Coturnix japonica: one gene and its partner. The protein of the gene in region 2 interacts with the protein of the main gene of each other region in a biochemical or structural test. Links are inferred from orthologs where the notes say so. Each region holds a gene or a part of one and is shown on either strand. Other genes may lie near its edges.

What was found. The genes of interacting proteins can lie anywhere in the genome.
Region 1: of the proteins of SMURF1 (region 2) and AXIN1, one has a biochemical effect on the other in vitro, tested with the Homo sapiens proteins (2 studies listed by BioGRID, with this or other methods). The link is inferred for Coturnix japonica from reciprocal best matches to the Homo sapiens genes SMURF1 and AXIN1.

What each region holds. Positions count from the first base shown.
Region 1 is NC_029529.1:10,802,256-10,812,020, forward strand, and holds the end of AXIN1 (axin-1), read left to right. Parts: intron 1-44; coding exon 45-290; intron 291-4,724; coding exon 4,725-4,892; intron 4,893-5,378; coding exon 5,379-5,505; 3' UTR 5,506-5,831; downstream 5,832-9,765. Other genes in the region: PDIA2 (protein disulfide-isomerase A2), read right to left, coding at 8,070-8,144, 8,260-8,346, 8,448-8,629, 8,768-8,888, 8,963-9,157, 9,233-9,358, 9,433-9,549, 9,614-9,751. UniProt on the Homo sapiens protein: Component of the beta-catenin destruction complex required for regulating CTNNB1 levels through phosphorylation and ubiquitination, and modulating Wnt-signaling.
Region 2 is NC_029529.1:4,354,170-4,365,343, reverse strand, and holds the start of SMURF1 (E3 ubiquitin-protein ligase SMURF1), read left to right. Parts: upstream 1-4,805; 5' UTR 4,806-4,963; coding exon 4,964-5,018; intron 5,019-11,174. Other genes in the region: KPNA7 (importin subunit alpha-8), read left to right, coding at 110-192, 956-1,219, 1,568-1,801, 2,131-2,313, 2,813-2,962, 3,574-3,621. UniProt on the Homo sapiens protein: E3 ubiquitin-protein ligase that acts as a negative regulator of BMP signaling pathway. Mediates ubiquitination and degradation of SMAD1 and SMAD5, 2 receptor-regulated SMADs specific for the BMP pathway.

The sequences.
Region 1 (9,765 bases), about 6.4 Mb from region 2:
GAGTGACTCAGCAGCCTGTGTAAAACCTTTGTATTTGTGTGTAGCTCTTCAGGTGCTAAGAAGCAGCTGTCCCACGACATGGTCCGACCCCTCTCCATTGAGCGGCCTGTTGCAGTGCATCCGTGGGTCAGTGCCCAGCTCCGGAACGTCGTCCAGCCTTCACATCCTTTCATCCAAGATCCTACCATGCCACCCAACCCAGCACCCAACCCACTCACCCAGTTGGAAGAAGCTCGCAGGAGGTTGGAGGAGGAGGAAAAGAGAGCTGGAAAACTCCCACTGAAACAAAGGTATGGCCATGGGGTCTGAGTATGCATGGGAGAAAAGGGGGGAGGCTGCTCTGTGACTGGGGAGCCATGGGAGGTGCTGTGCTCCAGTTTCCAGCACTAACTGAGTGGAGGCACCTGCAGAGAGGTCAGGGAAGCCTCCTCATTCTCTCTGACATGGCTTCTGACAGGCAAATGCCACAAGCTGCCTTAAGGCCTGGGCTTGAGTTTTGTGGATTGGAAGTCTGGAAATGTTCTGAATGAGCCTGGGCAGGTGGAGCCTGTTTAGAAATAGCATGAGAGGGAAGAGCGCTCTTTGTAGAACTAGTCAGCGTCCGGTTTGCTGTACTCACCTCATCTTCACCAGCACACTCGTGGTTCGTTCACACACTGGTTGCAGAGTTCTTGGTTGGTGCAGTGGCAAAATTCAGCAGAATGCAGCAAAATTAAGTGCAGAAGAATATGTATGTGCTCTTTATCTACATCTCATTCAATCTTCCAGCAAAGGAAGCTTGTGGCAGCTCAGGGGGAGCGCTGCACACTGCTGCAGCAGTATTGTTCTCTGCATGCCTGTATCCAAGTCACTGCAGCTTCCTGTGACTCAGCTCAATGCCTGTTGCAGAGCTAATTCTTCTGCTCCCGTATTATCTTTCAGGGAGGATTAGTTGCAAGGCACACAGAGCTCTCAGATGAAAAACATTTTGGAAGTGCTTGATAATTACTGTTAAGAACTAAAAGCACTTTGACCATTAAAAACCTTTCACAATGGGAATTGCTTGTAGTCACTTCATTGCTTTATAGCTGTGTTCTGAAAACTCTAAACTTTGGAGTCTGACATTCAGAAACATGAGTGTAATTTAAAGAACAAGCTCCTCTAATTGCTGAGCTGCAATTATTTGTGCTTGCAGTGGTCATGTAGCAGACTTCTGCATATTTATATCAGAGCATTGATTGGAAGCTAAATAATTAGAGGGCTCTCCCACGTCGGCTTGGGCCAGGCTTATTTGATCTAACTTTCACTTGGTGTAATTGGATAAGGTTTATTTGTGGAGTCATTTATAGTCATATTAAATTCATACACCTTCCCAAGAAACGTCTAGGTGCAGATGCACACTTGGGAAACACCAGCCTGGGCTTTATGCATGTGTCTTGAATACTCTAATAACAACTTGGCAGCTTTTGTAGAAACCCCATGGCGTTGTGGTATGTGCCCTTCAGACCAGCAGGAGAACAGGCTGAGCCACGCTGGGCCGTTCTGCTTTCACACTTGTGCTGCCTCCTCACAGTGTTTGAGGCTGGGCCATTGATCTTTGGGAGCCTATGCAAGCTGAAGTGTCCAGTGCTGGCTGACCTGACCTCTTGTGCCCATTGTGTTGGTGGAGAGCCTTGTCCCGGTGGTTGCTTGCCTGTGCAGTCAGTTTTTGAGCCATTTTCTGTAGCTCACTGTCACAGTGCACATACGTTTCCAGCTGGAAGAAGTAATTAGTAGCAGCTCTGCAGAGAAGAGATTTTCGTAAGCAGCAAAAGAATTTTCTAGTCTCTCCAGCAAAAATGTTAGCGTGAGCTTGGTTTGGAATTAGTTTGATTGGGCCAGGCCTGGAAGAGGAGCAGAGCTGGATGCTGGGACACCTCCTGAGGTAACATCTGCTGGCTGTATTTCAGGCTTTCCACAGCTCTTTGGCCCCAGGGCTGGGATGGAGCAAACCTCCCCTGTGCTGGGCATGGCAGCATCACAGCTGGGCTGTGTCTGTGCTCTGACACAGGCTGAGTTAGTGCTGGTCATAGAACCATAGAATCACAGCATGGTTGGGTTGGAAGAGACCTTACAGCCCCCCCCCCAGTCCCACCCCTGCCATGATCTGGCTGCCTCCCCAGCTCAAGGCTCCTTGGGCAGGGTAAGGTGCAGTAAGGCAGTCAGCACTGCATTTATCTTGCTGGGTAACATTTCCTGCTTGTGACAAACTTTGCAAAGGGAGCTGAGGCCAGAAGAAGGAACAGAGAGTTAATTGTGTGTGTTCATGGAGAGGGTACACTGCAGACCCAGGGGATGGGTGCAGATGGAGGCTCCAATGAGGCAGGGTTCAGGCGTGCTGTGATGGAGCAGCACACTCAGCAGGGGCCCATCTGGGTTAGAAGTGGCCTCGGGAGGTTTCTGTGCGATGATGGCAGCAGAGATGGTTGTGTTGTCATGTTCTCAGGGGAGGAATGTCTGGAAAACTGTGTTGTCAATGATTCCTTATTCATCATCCCTGCTTCAGTTTGCTAGAGATCTGGGGACGTGTGTGTATTCTGTGATGCTTTAAAGGGTGATGTTCCTTCCTGCAAGGAGGCACCAAACCTTTGGCTCTTGTCCCATCACTGGTGGCCTCCTGGGGTCCTGTCAGAAAGAACCAGGCGGCTCTTTCTCCCTCACATGCTTTCCAGAAGCCACACGGTCCCCACAGCCCCTTTCTGAGCCTGGGGAAGAGGAGCACAGCAGCCAGTCTGAGGTGGCTGCAAAGCAGCTTTTCAGGCACAAATTACACAGTGGGAGGAGGAAGGCTCCCAGCCATTGGCACAATCCTGCTCTGGCTTTATCATGGCAGAGCTGGGGAGCTCGAGGTGTTGGTTGTGACAGTCCTGCCTGCCCCCCCAGTGACCAAGGAGCTGCCCTCCAGCAGCCTAAGCACCATGCTGCATGCACAGCGTGTGTCATTGCATCCCCACCAGCCTCCGTGCCAGCTCCCCTGGGCACCAGCAGCTCTCTCATAGTCATGACTCGTTTCCAGCAGCATTAAGAGAAGCTGAGGGACTCTGAGGTTTTCCAAACCCCTTCAATTAACTCCTGGCTCACAGGATACACAGAATTTGCCTGAATTTATGACCCGTTTTTCCTTTAAACACATGATTTTATTTTTTATTTTTTCCAGAGGATGATTCAATTCCTTAATGTTTTTCTGCCTAAAGGGCATCCTGTGCTTTGATACAGGGATGGCTTCTAAGAGCTGTGCTGGCACAAGGAGCTCCATCACCTCTTGGGATGCTGCAGTTTCTCCAATGGTCTCCAGAGCAGAGCAGGCACCAGGAGCATTATGAGCTGAACTTTAGACCTCTCATGGCTTTAGAAAGAGGTGACAGAGTTCTCCCTGGTCTTGGTTTGCAGTGCCAATGTTATTGTGGACGTGCCATTACAAAGGTGCTGTGACTGTATTTAAAGGTTGAGGTCACAGCCATTTCCAACACTGCCATTAGCTCATGTGCTTGGCGTATTCTGCTCTTATAGCAACTTTCCAGTCCTATAAATACAAAATCATCCTTTTTTTTTTCTCCTTTTTTTTCCCTTTTACCCCGTGTGCCTTTTAAATGATTTTAAAGCTGCCAAATCTGTTTTATGTGATTCTGAAAGAGAAGGCTGCCTCTGGCTGAGACCACACATGCCAAGCAACGCATTTGTGTAGGCTGCTCAAATGTTTGTGCAGCATTTACAGCGCCCCAGATGAAAGGCTCCACACAAGTGCAAAGTGCCCTTATTTTGATTGTTGCTACTTTTGTCTGACTCTGAAAATGAGGCGAGGACTGGACACTTTCAATCTGGTGATGGCACCAAGTAGCAAATGCCAGTGTGTGGGCTGGAGGGAAGGAGCAGACCGACATCCCGACAGGCAGGAAGGTGTGAGAGGTTCCAGGTCTGCTCACTGGAGGTTTGAGGATGGTGTCTGCCTTCCAAAATCCAGCCTGCAGCCCAGCCAGGCCTTGCATGATGGAGCAAGACAGGATGGGGTGAGCAGCAAAGCACACAGGGTTTGGCACATCCCAGAGCTGCACATGAGAACTCCAAATGCTTCACAAAGGGAGTTGCTAGCTGATATGGATGGCACTTTCTTCTCCTTGTCTATGATATGAAGGCTTCTCCTGCAGACTGAGCCCTGGGAGCCATCACCGAAGCACTGCTTGTACTGAGGTCCAGGTAGCAAGCCTTGAAGCCTGAAGCCCAAGCACAGTGGTGCACACCGGTGGTGACACTGGTTGGCTGCAGTGGGTGTGTGATGCTCTGCCTTGCTCTGCCTAAACCAATTGCTCTCAGAGTTCAGTGCTGCAGGAAAGCCACTTCAAAGCCTGTCCCTGGGATGGGTTTCTGCAGCATGAAGGGGCTGAGCTGGAACCTGTGCCCTGTTCCTCCTATCTATGAGCTGGCCTCCATCCAGCCTTTCTAAGTGCTGTTCACCAGCCTGAGTGCACAGATGTATGCCAAGAAAGGTGGTCAGAGTAAAAGATGTTTCCTGAGGGCCCTGAGTGTTACTTTGGCACCTCCATACAGAAAGGCTCCAGTTCTCTGCAGATAAATGAAGGTCTGGACCTGCATCCCCTGCCTGGGCAGCCCCTCACCCCAACCAGCACCCAGTGCTGCCGATGATGCTGAGTCTGTGCCAAGCACCATAGGCCGATACTCAGGACATTGCTTGTGATTTTGTACAACAGGTTGAAGCCCCAGAAGAGACCAGGCAGCGGAGCATCCCAGCCATGTGAGAACATCGTGGTCGCTTATTACTTCTGTGGAGAGCCCATCCCATATCGCACCCTCGTCAAAGGGCGCGTGGTGACACTGGGACAGTTCAAGGAGCTGCTGACCAAGAAAGGGAACTACAGGTAAGGGCTGTTTGCCACTTGCAGTGTGGTGCCAGCAGACTGTCAGCACCCCCTGGCAGCTGCTACCACCAGGATGTTGATCCTGTCAAGGCAAAGGAGGTAGGTCAGGGGAGCTACTGGGGTTCTCAGCAGCCTTGCAGGGTTGTGGCAGCATCTGGTTGCCAGTGGACATTCCTTTCACTTAGAAAAGTAAGTCCCAAAGTGAGCCAGGAATGTGCTTTTTAAATAAGGGTAGAACTCAGACTTGCATCTGGAGTCCTACCTCCAGAAATATCCTGCATCACAGTTTGCTTCTCAACATGCCTGCTTGCATTCTGACTACCCTCACTAGGAGAGGGCAGGGGTGGATGCCAGCCTCCATGTCTGCTGGGGCTGCTCCCATTCATCATGAGCTCACAGCCACAGCTGCCCCCCATGTTTGGGTATCACTGTGATGTCCCACGTGGCCCTTAACCCCTCTGTGTCCCCGTGTTCCTTCCCTTTCAGGTATTACTTTAAGAAAGTGAGTGATGAGTTTGACTGCGGTGTGGTCTTCGAGGAGGTGCGGGAGGACGACACCATCCTGCCCATCTTCGAAGAGAAGATCATTGGGAAGGTGGAGAAGATCGATTAGGCTCCAAGGCTGCAGGAAAGGACTGTGAAAGACTCTGGGACTGGAGGAGAAGGTCTGGGGCAGACGCTGGCGGTGCTACTCCAGGAGGTGCTGGGCGAGCCCACGGTGCAGCCCACTCTGTGCCAGGACCTGGGCAAGCTCTGTTGTGCCATGGGAAGTCGTTTCACCCCCACAAACCTGCCAGTGGGAGCCTGGGCTCCCTCTCCATACGGAATATAAGTGTAATGTAGCATTGTACAGTGCATTAGAAAGTGTAAAATGAACTTGTTTACTAAAGCTGCATATTTTTGATATATTGTAATAAAAGGAAAATATTTCCAATGTCACAGTGCTCTTATGTAAATGTAAAAACACGCAGGTACTGCAGAACGCACCCAAAGTGTACAGCCATCCATCAGACTCCGTGTGGTCCTCGCTTTCACAGCCCCCCTTCCCTGCCCCCTCAGTGTGGATGGCTCTGAGCAATGCTGGGCTGGGGTGCACCCAGCCGACAAGCTGCTGTCCCTGCTGCTGTGGAAGTCACTGCTGCACTCCAGAGTGGCCCCCACTGAAGATTATTGAGCCACTCTGAACGAGTTGAGCTCTCGCCTCCCTGGCAGTCGCAGCTATTGGACCTGGTAGGGGTGGTTTTCCTCCTGAGCTTTCTTGTGACCAAGTGAATCCCCAAGGGAAAGGGAGGGTGGGTGCCAGTTCTTGGTGCTGCAGGCTTCCTGTGGTGCCTTCCACCAGGGCAGGGCTGTGGGCCACCAGTGAGGGTCAGCTGCTGCTCAGCACTGCGGGGCTGGACACTGGCATCCCATGCCCTGTGCTTGTCCCCCACATGTGCCTGCTCTTGGGGCAGACGTTCCCTCCTGGAGGTTGCTGCAGCCCCAATGAAGGGCTGGCAGCTGTGTGCAGACCCCAGTGCCAAGGCTGGGCTTTGCTCAGGGGTGTTGCCTTAGGAGAGGGGTAGTTCAGGGAGGAAACCAATGAGACACTTCCAGTCTGAGGACAGAAACCATCGTGTTATGAATCCGGTGTCTTCTGTCAGGTTCTGTCTCTGGGGAAGCAGTGTGAGGGGTCTGAAGCCAGCAGCAAAGGAGTTGAGGGGCTGTTGTACAGCCAGGTCCCCCAAATGCTGCAGTCACTGTAAGGGGCAACTACTGGGGTGCAGATGGGTCTGATCTCAGCTCCACCTGCCCTCAGCCCTGCCCTTCCCACCAGCCCAGGCTGTGCTCTGTGCCCCAGCAGCCGCAGCCCTGCACCAGCCATTGGGCAAACCCTGTGCCCGCAGCTCCAGCTCCTCGGGGGTCCCACATCAGCACTCACCCTGCCTGCCCACATGCCCCATTGCTCACTGCTGTTGCAGCACTGGGGCACAACCCGGCTGCCTGCAGGCGGTTCGCAGTAGCTGGGTGACAACTCAGCCTCTTGTACAGCGTCACGTGCCTTTAAACACGGTTCTGTGACTTGCCTACCACTATGTGAAGTCCAGCAAAATCTGCAATCGTTTTCAACCAGGGAACAGTGTTACGAGCGTCTTTTCCTCCCTCTTTTTTAAGTTCTGCTGGTGTTGTGTCTGGTGAGGTTGTTGCCATGCCTGGGATTTCCGTCTCCCCCTTATTTTTCTCAGGGGGTTCCCTGTAAATATGTACATTTGCTGAGCGCAGCATCCTCCAGCGGCCGTGCAGCCCTGCTGGTGTCTCCTGTGCATCCTCATGTGCTGACTTGTACAATGATCTTTTCAAAGGTACTTGGATAAAATGAAATAAAGCCCCACATCCCGGTGCCTTCTGGTTTCTTCCTTCCCCGCGGAGCAGACGTGGGAGTGGGTTGAGAATGGGAGCAGACAGAAGGGCTCTGCTTTGACCCAGGGCCATGGGCACACAAATGGGGCTGCCCACAGGGTGGGCATGGGGGTCCCAGAGCCATTGCTTATGGCTGGAGAGCAGCAGCTCAGGGGGGAGGGGATGGTGCTGGGGACTGAGACTGTGAGCCAGGCATTGGAAAGGCTCCAGAGGGCTCTTTAGAGCCCAATTTGGGGCTACTCCTGCCTTTCCAGGGTGTGAAAGCAGCTGCTGGGACTGGAGCCCTGGGGCAGCTCTGCATTATTGCAGCCCAGGTGTGAGGCAGGAGGCCTTGGGGCCATGAAGCTGAAAGCCTTCTGTGGTTCCTTCATCCCCGAAACCCTGACAGCCCCATGCCTGGGGCAGCACAAGGGCCAACCTGGGCTGCCTGCAGCACTCTGACACTGCAGGGACAGAAGGACGAGAATCACAGCGTGCCCAGGGCTGTGTTGGGTCCAGCATCACAGGAAGGCAAAGGCAGCACCCCCTCCATGGGAATGCTCAGTGCCATGGGTGCCTGAGGCCAAGCTGACCATGGGACCGACTGCCCTGCACACCCCAGTGGGCTCAACCCCCATCGAGGCACCCACCAGCTGCACTGTGTCCCCAGGAGGCCAAGCAGGCAGCATTCAGTGCCATGTGCCCCATGACATGGCTGTCAGCTGCATCCCACAGACACAGACAGAGCCCGCATCATTTCCAGGGTCATTTATAATGCCCACTGCAGCAGGACAGGACTCACAGCTCCTCCCGGGCTTCGGCTGTGCCAGATGAGCTCGGTGACTCTGTGCTGTTCTCTGGGGCCATGGACACCTGCAGAAGGTGATGGTGAGGCAGGGATGGACGTGTCCTGTCTCCATCCCACGTGTCCTGCAGGGTCTGTGCCCTGGGTGGCAGCCCCTGCCCAGGGATGGGGCACCTCTCTCACCGTGGGTGGCTCCTCCGGCAGCTTCCCTCCATTCTCCAGGAACTTGGAGAAGGTCTCCACGTCTCGAGCACTCCGATATTCAACCATCTGGAGCCGGGGGACAGGAGGAGGACACAGGGTGACATCTGAGCCTGACCTTCCCCAGGTGCTGGCAGTGCCAGGGATTCCCCACACCTGTCCCTGCCCACCTTCCTGCCCGGCCCAGCAGGGAAGTAGTGCAGTGTTGGGTATCCGCTGATGGTGATGTTCTCCAGCTCGTTGGCTGTGGCATCCATCTCAGCAATGACAATGTCCTCGTGGTCCTTGTAGCGCTCGCCCAGCTCCTCCCAGGCAGCCGCCATCTCCTGGCAGTGGGTGCACCACGGAGCATCTGTGTGACGGGCACAGGGCTGGAGGTCACAGCCAGGCTGGGGGCACCGGGGGTAGGCGAGGGGTGGGGATGCAGGAGAGGTCATGGAGAGGGGCTCAGCCCCACGATGCAGCTCAGGAACAGGACTTCAGCACTTACAGAACTTCACAAAGACGTTCTTGGTCTCATCAAATGCCACCTGCTCAAAGGTCTTCCCCACCAGCACTTTAACGGGCCGCGTGTTCCAGTCCTCGGGGGGCTCTGCACTCAGCAGCTGGGGCTGTGGGGACAGCAGGGATGTCCTGCTGGGACCTGTTTGGGGCCAGGTTCAGATCCAGGCTCCCATCTGCTCACCTTCACCTTCCCGTCCAGCACTGCCCGCACAAAGTCGCGTATGGCCGTGGCTGAGAAGGCGTCTGCCTCCATGCGGTACTTGCGGTTGTTCTCCATCTTGATGAGGCGCAGTGTGGGCGCATCACTGGGATTCAGACCAAAGAAGTGCAAAACAGAGGCACCGTACCCGTCCACATCCACCACCACGAAGAGCACCTGGAGGGGGAGATGGGCAGTGCTGAGGCTGTGGTCCCCCAGGTCCCATCCTTGCTTGCCATGGGATCACCTCACCTCACCCCGGAAGGCGCTGGCGGCCGCACGGAACTCATCCCGCAGTGCCTGCTGCTCGGCTACAGAGGTGTTGAGGAAGAGCAGCATGTGGTTGGGGATCTTGGCCCCAAAGATCTGTCCGGAGGTCTGTAAGGGAGGAGGAGGGTGAGAGGCTGGGCACCCTGCAGCCACACCAGGGCTGGGGAGGGCAGCAGCCGAACCTCATTCAAGAAGTCCATCACCAACTGCAGGCTGTGCACGCGGAGCAGCCGCGTCATCTCGGCCACATTCAGGCCCTGCTCCGGGTCCACGGGGAAATCCGTCCTCTCCTCATCGAACTGCCAGGTGTGGGACAGTGAGCACCAGGCCCCGCCGCAGCCCCACCACCCCAACCCCACTCACCTTCTTGAAGAGGCAGACGGTGTCGGCCGACAGCCCGTACGCCTTGAACAGCTCATCCGCCTCGGCCACTCCGAACACCACCTCCACCACCTCCTCAGCCACCTCATAGAACGCCCGCGCCGCCGCACTGTGCAGGTCCTGCATGGTTCCAC
Region 2 (11,174 bases):
GCTGGTCCAACCCACCAGCATCATTAGTAGTGGGGCCTCTGGCTGCTCTTGGATGTTGCCTGTCTGTGACTGAAATATGTATCATAAATAACCCTCTTTATCTGTGCAGGTGATGGTCCTCTGTACAGAGATGCTCTTATCAATTGCAATGTGATTCCTCCCTTGCTGGCTCTGGTGTCACCTGTAACTCCAGTAAATAACTTTCTTGTTCTTGACTTGGCACTCCTGTTCACTTGGGTAATGGGTGAATGGTGACATGACTCACAAATAACCAGCTGTTAGGTCAGTTGGATGGGTCTCTTGTTTAAACTGCTTTTAATGAGCCTAACCCTGAACAAGATGCCAGGTAGATGCGTTTTAAGTCAATGTAGTGATTTAAATAAAGCTTTTCCATCCAGCTTTGACCATCTCAAGCAAGGAGTAAGTTACAATTGGTGCACAGCAGACTTGCATATGCATGCACAGTGCAGAACTTGTCCTTCCTGCTTTCTCCTGCTGTGCCCTGCCCTCCTGCCCCACAGCTTTCAGGGGAAGAAGAACCTTCTCAGAGTGCTGTGAGGTGGGCTGCAAATATGGACCTGTGACAATGGTGCTCCACTGCTCTTCTCACTGGGATGAGGGAACTCAAACCCTTCTCTGTGATGCTGGGCTGCTAATATTAAAGTAACACCCTTGGTCTTGTCCAAAGAATGCTTTGTAGTTGGTCCTGGGGACCTGGCAGTGAGCTGTTTCATGCCTTTGTTAGTCACAGTGGCTTGTCATGCCATCAGATCTGAGGTTATTGGGACTTAATACTGGAGGAGGGGAGGTCTGCTCTTTTATCTCTCTGCTTCAAACAAGCCTCAGCCCTTATTAAAGAGGCTGCTCTTGGCTGATAACATCTGCTGCTGTGGAGCAGTGTTGGTTGCACCAGAGGGCTCAGCAACAAGTATCTCACAGCTTCCTCATCTTCCAGGTTGGCTTCCTGAGGAACATCACATGGACTCTGTCAAACCTCTGCAGGAATAAGAACCCATACCCACCCCTGGAGGCAGTGAGGCAGCTGCTGCCTGTCATCACCTGCCTGCTGGAGCACGAGGACAAGGACATTGTCTCTGACTCCTGCTGGGCTGTGTCCTACCTGACTGATGGCTCCAATGACCGTATCCAGATTGTGGTGGATACAGGGATTCTGCCACGGCTGGTGGAGCTCATGGGCAGCCCTGAGATTATCATCATGGTAAGGAGCAGTTGTCAGTTCCTGATCTCTGGGCCTTTAACGTAGGGACATCTGGGGAGAGGGAGGGAGCAGCTCCTTGCTGTCTGTGGTCTGCTGCCTCTTCACTCTGTGGTTCTGCTTGTTGCTGATCAAGCCAGTGCTATGTTCCTTCTTGCTGTGGCTGGGAAGAGCCTGTAAATCTGCTTAGATCAGAACAGGAGGCTGGTAGGTAGGTCTGTAACCATAGCAGTAATCATCCATGGGACTTCAAATGAAGGTTCAGGCACTTAGTGAAGGTGCTTGCTGGTTTTTCTGGTGTGTATCCCTTGAGATAAGACTTCTCATCTCCATCTGCTCTAATCTGTCTAGACTCCAGCTCTGCGTGCCATTGGGAATGTGGTTACAGGGACTGATGAGCAGACCCAGGCAGCTATTGATGCTGGTGTCCTGGCTATCCTGCCCCTTCTCCTGGGACACACGAAGTCAGCTATACAGAAGGAGGCAGCGTGGGCACTCAGCAACATTGCAGCTGGGCCCTGCCAGCAGATCCAGCAGCTCATCACCTGCGGGCTGTTGCCACCTCTGGTGGAGCTGCTTGATAAGGTAAGGGGATGGACATAGCTCTGTGCATGTGGGGCAGTGCTCAGCTTCATTCTGTGCAGCTTTGTTGTGAGGTGCTGTGCCCAAGAGCCACCTGATCAGTGTTCTGTGAAGCTGCTGGGATCTGAGGAGCAGCATGAGCATTGTATTTAATACATCTGCACAAAGAAACAGCTTGGAGCTGGTCTTGGCAGCTCTGCTGTGTGTCCACGCAGTGCTAGGAAAGCAGACTAGTCTGCATTATGTACAAGGAGTGGCTCTCCTTGCCTGACATCTCAGCCTGCTCTGAGGGATGCTAAAGTCTGGGAATGCCTTTTCTGTTGCTCTTCTAGGGGGATTTCAGGGCCCAGAAGGAGGCAGTGTGGGCAGTGGCCAACCTGACAACTGGTGGCACTGTGGAGCAGGTGGTGGAGCTTGTCCAGTCTGGGGTCCTCAAGCCTCTGCTCAACCTGCTTTTGGTCAGAGACACCAAAACTATCCTGGTTATCCTGGATTCGATTTCAAATCTATTCCTGGTAAGATCTTACATCCCTTTTGCCAAATAAGTAATGAGGAGTGAGAGGGATGCTCGCATGATGCAGGTGCAGCTGAAGCAGCTCCTCCCCAGCAGTTAGTCTTGCAGGAGTGAGTTAGACTTCATGCCTGACTTGTTCTTGAGTCCTTTTGGGTTGCCAAAAGGGCTTGACATGAAGTTCCAGAGTGCATCCTCTCCTTTCCTAAAGGAGAAACAGTGTGCTAATCACTGAGCCAATACAGAAAATGAAGGTCTTGGAACTGGATGGTGCTGGGGTCTCCCAAGGGTTCAGGAGGTGTTTTGGTTGGCAGCAAAACCACAATATAGTGAAAAAACAGGGACAGTTTGATATATTGTAGTTTGATACTACAGTCATATTCTAGGCATCTCTGAACACAGTGCAGACCCTTGTGTTCCTACCTGCAGTCACTTGGCCCTTAGGCAGGAACCACCTTGACCCCATTACTGACATGGGTTGTACTTGCCTCTGTTGTTTGCAGGCAGCTGAGAAGCTGGGAGAGACAGAGAGGCTGTGTCTGCTGGTGGAAGAACTTGATGGTCTGGAGAAAATTGAAGCCTTGCAAACCCATGACAACATCATGGTCTATAGAGCTGCTCTGAATATCATAGAGAAGTACTTCTCTGGTGAGGTATGTGAGCTCTTGCTGCTGCTCATTAGAAAATGAACTGTTGTGTGTCGAAGCGGAGCACATCCTTTAAAGATGCTGAGATAAGTCCTTAGGTATCTTCTTGAAATTGAATGGGGTAGTTCTTATAGCTTACTCCCTTTACCTTCCAGAGGTCTATAGAACCCTGATCTGTCAGCTGACTGCTGTGCATTAGAGATGCTTTGATAGCATCTTGCTGCTGGAATTTCCAATGGCATCAGCTGGCATCACTGCAATTGCTGATATGCATTCCAAATGTGAGAAGGCTTCCTCTTTCCTGGCTGGCTTGTTGCTAGGAAGGGCAGCCTCCTACTCACTGATAACTGTGCTCAAGTTCCTTCTGGGTTACTTGACTCTTCTTGTGTTAAACTTGTGAGAAAAGTACAGGACCTCAGCAAGGAGTCCTAAGGGAATTCCATAACTGTCACAAGTCCGTATTTGGAGCCAGCCTTGTTCTTACAGATTAGGGAAGACCAAAGTAGAGGCTTATAGTGGTCTGACAGACCCCAGAGCTGACGTCTGAAAGTTGCCTGCAGTGTTTAAGCAAGTAAAGATGCAGACCCATTAACTGATGGCTGTGAACTTCCTCCTAGGAGACTCCTGATCTGCAGCATTGGAATGGATGTGGAAGGGGTATATAATTTGCTTCTCCACTGTGAAGACTTCAAAGGCTGAAGCACTGCACAGCTCTGACTTGGTGGGTGGAGGCTGGGTGTCCTGACCAAGGGGAGTAGAGATGTATAGCCCTTTTACAGGTGGAACTTAGTAATAAATTGCACTTGTGGATTTGTACTTCTTGCCTCTATTCCTTTTCTCTCATACTTCTGCTGTGGTGAAGATCACAGCTCTCTGGTTCCTTAAACATATGGGAAAATTACATATTGGAGTTTTTGGAAGTGTTTTCTGTGTGAGACATTGCCTGCCTGCAGTGTGTAACCTCTTGTTAACTGTTAAGAAGGAACTGAACCCTGCTTGGCCTTTGTGTTTGTGCTGTGTCTCCTGGGCCTCCTTGCAGGATAGAGGGTATTTCTCCTCCAGGTTGCCTAGAAAGAAGGAAGCAGAGCCCCTGTGGTCTGTACAAGGTGCACAGCCCTGAGCTTGCTGAGTGTAGTTGAAGTGCTGGAGTCGATTTATTTCCTGGATCTGACACTATGAAGTGAAAATCGGAATAGCACAAAACCTGAGTGTGCTCTGGAGATGAGTGCCTGTGTGCATCCTTCCTTTGTGCTGTGGGTTAGCACTGGGGGCTCTGCTGCCAGAACCACCTTACAGTGTGCTGCTGAGGCAGCATCTGGAAATGATTGGATTTCAGTGGGTAAAAGGAGCCTGAGGTTGATGCTTCCTCGGTGTAAATGGAGATGTGGACCGGAGCTGGGCTCCTGCTCTTCCTGAGCCTGGACACAGGGCTGCTGCGTGCTGGTGTTCTGCTGACTGAGAGCAAGCTAAAAAGGGAAAGGTCAGTGCTTTTCCTGCATGTCTATTTGAGGCTGTTACAGGTAAGTTGCTTTCTTTCACCTTTGCAGCACTGGATTGAAAGCGAAGCGTCTATGGGTGCCGTGCTGGGTTGGTGATGCTTTACTTTCCTAATCCAGAGCGTTTCTACCTTTCATTGAGATGAACTTTTCTGACCAAAGAGTATCTCGGTGATAAGCTCAGTGATGACTGGAGTTGTGTGGAACACATTGCTGCGGCCTAGCAGTGCAGCTGTGTTCTGTAGGTCCTCCCACACACTAGGGGGCGCTGCACTCCTCCTTCAGCACTCGGCCCCTCCATCCCCGACCTCCCCAAGATGGCGGCGCCTCTCCTGACGTCACGGCCGAGCCGCGGGGCGGCGCTGAGGCGGAGCGGAGCCGCTGTCCGGGCCGGGTCGGGCTGAGGCGGCGGCGGGTCCGGCCGCGATCGGAGCGCGGAGAACGGCCGGAGGTTGGAGCGGGCCCGTATGGGGTTGAGCGGGGCAGCGGGTTGATCTCGCCTCAGGGCGCGATGTCGAATCCCGGGACGCGTCGGAACGGCTCCAGCATCAAGATCCGCCTCACAGGTAATAACGGCGCGGGAGGGGCCCGGGGCGCTGCTCGGTGCGGAGGGGCCGGTTGTGGGCAGGGGGCGGCTGTGTGTGTATATATGTGTGTGTATGTGTGTGTATATGTGTGTGTGCCGGGGGGGCCGTGGCCGCCGGTGAGGCCGGGCCGTGGCGGCGGGGCCCAGCTGTTCCCCCGCTCCTTCGCTCCGCTTCCCCCATTCCCGCTCCCAGCCCGCGGTGCTGCTGCGTTTCCAAGTTATTTCTATTATTATTATTATTATTATTCTTTTCCCCCTCTCGGTTCCCGGTTCCCACCCGCCCCCTGCAGTGTGCAGTGCAGCCGCCGTTCCCTCAGGTTCGCTCTGTCCGAACCCTCCTCTCATCTCGTTTGCCTCCGCTGGGCTCCGTAGGCTTTGTTGCAGAGCCCCGTTGTTCTCTCTGTGTGCGTCTCATTGCTTTGGGTCTGTTGTTTTGCTGTATTTTGTTTCCCTTTTTGCTCTCCTCCTCTCCTGCTTCCTCTCCCAAACCCAACTCCTGCAGTCCTTCCCCTGAGCTAAAGGTGCCAATGAATGACTGCACTCTGTGTCTCCTCAACTCTGTGTGCACACATGAATAAACCAATTTATGTTGCACCCTCCGAGGTCTGGATTAGCTCTGAGAGCTGCTCCAGCTAATGCTGAGCTGCTGTTCTAATGGGAAGAGGCACAGGTTCTGATTCTTAAGGCTGTGGGGTGAATTATTAATAAATAAGACCCGATCTGACCTTTTTAAAGGCAACAGGTGGATACTTGGAGATCTCGGTGCCGTGGTTCATTCAGACCCAGGCACAGGTATTGATCTTTATGGAACTGTGGCTGTGGGAGCGTGAGATATTGCCAAACAATAAGAGAAATGGCACAAGGTGAACTCCAGTTCCAGGTGAACTTGCTTCTGGTGTGCACTGCAATCAGTCAGCAGCGACTCTTCAACATAAAACCCTGGTTTGCTTTTAATCCTTCCTTGATCCCGTGCTGCTCGTGCTTTAGGAGGCTGCAGTTGGCAAGGAAAATATCAATCTGAAAATCCTTTCGGACACGAGAAGGCTGCAAGTATTTTTAGGGTGTAAAGACGATGTTTGATCTGAAATCAGTTTTGTGGAGCCGTGTGCTAAATGCCAACTCAGTCACTGACGTGCCTTGTTTGTATGCCAGTCAGTCCATCAACACGCAGGCAGTTGAGTAACTTGTGCTGTGGTCGCAGCCCTGTGGAGCGGGCAGGTATCGTTTAAATAACAGACAGAAGCTGTTGGTTTTAGAAGCTGTTGGTTTTAGTTCTAAAGAGCGAATGCAGCGTCAAAGTGTTCTTTGCCTTTTAGCGTGTGCTATTCCTGCCTGGCTGAGAGCATTTTGTGCAAGAGGCTGAAGTTGCAGCTTATTGAGCAACTTGGATTTTCTCACTCGTATTTTGTTGTTTTAATTAATTATATTGGAGAACTCTGCTCTCTCAAACTCATTTTAGGTTTTTACAAGCATGTGACCTGGGTGGTATGACAAAAATTGCTGCGTTTCATCAGAAACTAATTGCTCTGGGAGAGGTTTCCCTTTGGAGTTGTTAAGAAATGCTGCATCCTCAACGTGGCTGGAGGTTGCTGGGCTGACTTACCTGCTCCAAAGCACTACAGCTATCGCGGCTGCTGCTTCCTCATCTGTTCTGCTGCTGGGAGCTTTGAGTGGTGTTAATTCAAGACAGGGAACGTCTTCTGTTACGATCTACTACCTGCGCTGTATTTCCTGTGATTAGAAATCATTTGTTTTCACACAGCTACTTTCAGTAGTGCAATACTGCTCAGTCTGAAGGTGCCTGTGAGCATTAGGAAAAGCAAATGGTGGTTGAATCTTGCTACTTTTAAAGGCATTGTTCTCATTTTCCTTGTTTATTGGCATGGTGTTTGTACAAGCATTGAGTTAAAAGCATTTCAGTCATATGAATATATTAGATCTTCCAGCTCGTGCGGGGTGGTGTCAGTCCTACCATGATGCAGATTGCAATGAAGTGAAATGGTAAATGGCACATTCTGTTTAGAAAGGAAAAATAAATAAATCAATAGATCCAACTGCAGGTAACTTGGGTGGTGGGTTAAAATGTCTGTGTCCTCAAACATGCTCATCTCTCCCTATCCCAAAATGGTCCATGTTGGAAGGGACCTCAAGGCTCATGAACCTGATATCTCACTTTCTCCTAAAGTATATGCAGGGTTCCTTTTGCTTTCACCACTGCTGGTGATAGAGCAGCCAAGGGTGCTTATGGCCTTGTCTCACTGCTGGAAGCAGCTCTAGGCAAAGGAAGGTAGGACTTGTCATTATATCCGTAGTCTCTTTGTATCCGTGCTGTCAGCGGGTAGAGCAGCCATGACAGATGACTCAAAAAAGAGATGGGAACAATGCAATGGTATTGTGAGTGCTTGAGGAGTCTGCTCAGGTTCTTCTGGGTCAGGGAGGAATGTGGTCCAAAGGCCTTTGTGAAGCACATCCCTTTTTTAGCTGATGTCCTCCTCTAAAACCTTTCTTTGCTGCTGCAGTCGCTGCTCCCTGGGGGCAGTTCCAAAGGGTTGATCAACTCCAAAGCTTTACGTGCTTCTTACTCATACTGTTATTTCACCCAGAAGTACTTGTGAAAACTGCAGTCTCATTGTGCTGGATCTCAGAGTTGCTCTTGTTCTGGGTAACTTGCATATGGGAAAATCCCATGCAATTGGGAAGGCTGGGAGGAAATGGACTAAGTGTGCAGCTTTTCTACCAGAAAACCTTGAGGTTCTGTTCTGACTTCATCGATATGGCTTTATCATCACTGCTGCAGCAGGGGTGTTAAAGGCAGTCTGGCTTCTGATGCTGGAGAAGGAAGTGAGAAAAGATGGGGAAGGAAAAAGCATTAGTTCAAATGTAATGAATCGTTTCAGAGAAGGAGCAGGAAAGGGGAGAGGATCATGTAGCATTTCAGCCCATGGAAACGTGTAGATGGCCAAAGCAGGTTCTTGAGCAGAAGAGCAGCAGTTGGTGTAACAGGAAAGCACAGTCATCCCTCGGCCTTAAGAAAGGCATTCCTTCTTGGCAGCCCCAGCGCAGGGGGTTGTTGGGTTGCTGCTTGTTATTGTATCTGTAGAGGATTTGAATGGAGGGCGAGAGGAAGGAGAGCTTGATGTCAGAAATGTCAAGGAGGAATGAGGAAGGTGGTGAGGAAGTGCTTGGTTTATGTGAGGTGGGTGCATTCACAGGCAATGTTTGATTTCTGTGTTAGCAGAGGCAAAGAAAGGCAAAGAGGTGGTGCAGGGAAGTATCCAAAACCCCACTTTCATTTCCCTGTACTTAGAACAGCTTAGGGAAGTCCCATCTGCAAAGTGCTTATAAATGGCTGCCCTGGGTTTGTTTCACAGACGTTCACTGGTAATTTAAGGAAAGCATTAAAGAATGAAGTGAATTCAAGTCCAAAGTAAAATATGACGTTTCTTTAAAAGCAATACACTTAAGCTTGTTATGAAGGCATACGTTAAAAAGTGTCACAAACGCTTCCCTTTCATGACTAATGTAGTATTGATCGATTCAGCAGAGTTAACTGACTGATCAATAGCAACACTAATATTGGCCACCCAGACAGTTTTATGTCCCGTGTTCAGAAACAATGACTATCTGTGCAGGGATCTCCAGATCAAAAGTAGTAAATAGCTCATGGGCTGTCTGTCATTTTATGTTTTTATGTTGGAAAGAGTCCTGGCTGCAGACTGATGGTGCTGGTGTGAGAGGAGGCCAGGCTGGCCAGCCGGCCATTTGGGTCTGCCCTTGTGTTTGTGGCTGCACAGGGGCTTGTTGATAGAAATGGCATGGAAATGTGGGGCATGGAGCAAGGGGAACTTGCAATGGACAGCTGGTATCTTTGGGCTGCTGGGGTGGGAACCAAGAGCAGGCGGGTGGGCTGCGACTTGCTGCCTTTGTCTCTCTCAGTACGTCCGAGCTGTGCCAGCACCATTGTCCTGGTGGAAGTAAATTACGTCTCCAAAAGGAGTTTGCATGAACATTCCCTCAGGCAGCGAAAGTAGAGACAATAACTACTTTATTCCAAACTTGAAACTTTCTTTTCTCAAACTGGGTGCCTTCGTATAAAGGAATGTAATTTGGAATGTTGTTGCGGAGCTGCTTAATGATTTCTTATTTAATTCCTTACAGCGTTCTCATCCTCTTCCCTAAATGGCTTTATCGTGTTATAAAACATTGTAGCATTACTCTTTCCGTGCTGTAAAATGGAGAGATCTCCCAGTAAGGAAGTGAGCTTCGTGCTGGGATGTTTTCTGCTGGTCCCGACCTGCTGACAGCACCAGAGCAGCAGCCACCAGTGCCCTGCAGGTAAATAGGAGTGGGAGCACTGCGGCTGGTTGTGCTGCTGGCCCTGGCACTGTGTGTGTTGGAGGTTTGGCTGGATTGCCGCCCAACTTTAAGCAAGTCCAGCTGACATGTTTAAAGTTGGATTAGTCTGGTTAGATTACTTGCTGCTATTTATGGTTCCAGACTTAAATACTCACTCGGCTGCCCTGTTCGTTTGGAGAAACTCATGTTTGGGTGCAGAGAATATTAAAGAAGGTTTTAGGAAAAGAGACTGTTCTGTCAGCCAGTGCTTTCTGTGAGTGAGCAATAAGACCTTTTTGTGATGGGTTCTGCAATATCATTGAAAGCTTTTATCTGTATTGGTGCTTTGATCATTTGCATTTGGGAACCAAACACTGATGCTGATTTATGGTCCCGAAGTGAAACAAAGCTGTAGTGCCACGATCTGGAAATGGTTTGTTCTTTCCTGTACCACAAGTTGCTTTGGGTGGGCGAATGTGTCAGGGAGATGTGAAATCTCAGGATATTTGCTGACAGCCGCTGTGACATTTCTCCTGCTGTGACCTGTTCAGGCATTATAAGGTACGTGCTGAGGTCTTGAGTGTAGCCCTGGCCAACAGCAGGACATCGATGGGGAGAGCAGCAATACGGCTGACCAACTCCCTGCAGTTTTACCTCGATACCATCTCCCCTTCTTCAGCCAGCACATTAGCGAGCCTGCAGTTAGCCATGCAGCTGGTTAATGCAAGCACTCATGTTACTGCTGGTAGTGGGGAAGTTGTGCTGCTTTCAGATAATGATGTTTCAGATGCTTACGGATGAGTTCCTGCAGGCGCTGCTGCAATAACTGAAGATGTTATCTCCTTGCTCGTCTGCTGACCCCCCTTTGCCAGGAATTTGTCACTCACTGCAGGGAACTGGTGGAGGAAAACCCGAAGATGAATTATGAGCACATCTGTGCAACTTCAGCTGCTGACATTGAGTCTTTATCAAGAATTTAAGCTGAGGGGCTGGACTTTGAAAAGCTGGGGTATGAGCGTGTGTTGTCTTCTGCTGGGAGGAGCTGAGCTTGGAAGAGAAAAGAAGAAAGAGATGGTGATTTCCTAAACCCTGCAGCAAGGTTTGCTGTAGGTGTATATTGGTATATATCCATTTGTAAAAGATGTATCTGAATATTTATGTGACAGCAGGAGAAACCTGCCTGTTGGTTGGCTAAAGATGAGCCAGTGCTGGGTGACGGGTTAAGATGTTACACTGCTTATAAACTTTGTTTCACGTCTCTTGGAAAGGAAACCTTGCCGTTTTTGAAGGGGATCCCTGGGCATGTTCCTCTCCTATTTCCATCTGTCATCCCTGTGGAAGTCATAAAATGCAACGAGAGGACAGTGGGAAAGCATTGGGAGTTTTTCTTTCAAGTATTCTCTTATGAACTGGGAGCTACATTGGGAATATTTGGGGATGCTGGAGCTGGGTGATAAATGCGATGACGCTCCAGTTGAATTGGCAGAATAAGCTCACATGCTGCTTTAGAAAGAATCTCTCCACAGGGCTGTAATAGCTTGATGCCTTCCTCTTCACTAAGTCATTTTTGTCAAGTTAAAGGCCAGAATTCAAACTGGCTTGTTGTCAAGGACACTAAGCACAGCAGGCAGAAATCCCCAAGGCTACCCAGTTCGCAGCACAGACACACAGCCGGCAGAGCACCGTTCATTTGCTCTCCCCTCCCCCATGAAAAATCCCTTTTTTTTTTTTTTTTTTTTCAGAATATGGACACTATTATGCATACTAATAGAATGCAACAGCATGTATTTAAATGGGGAGT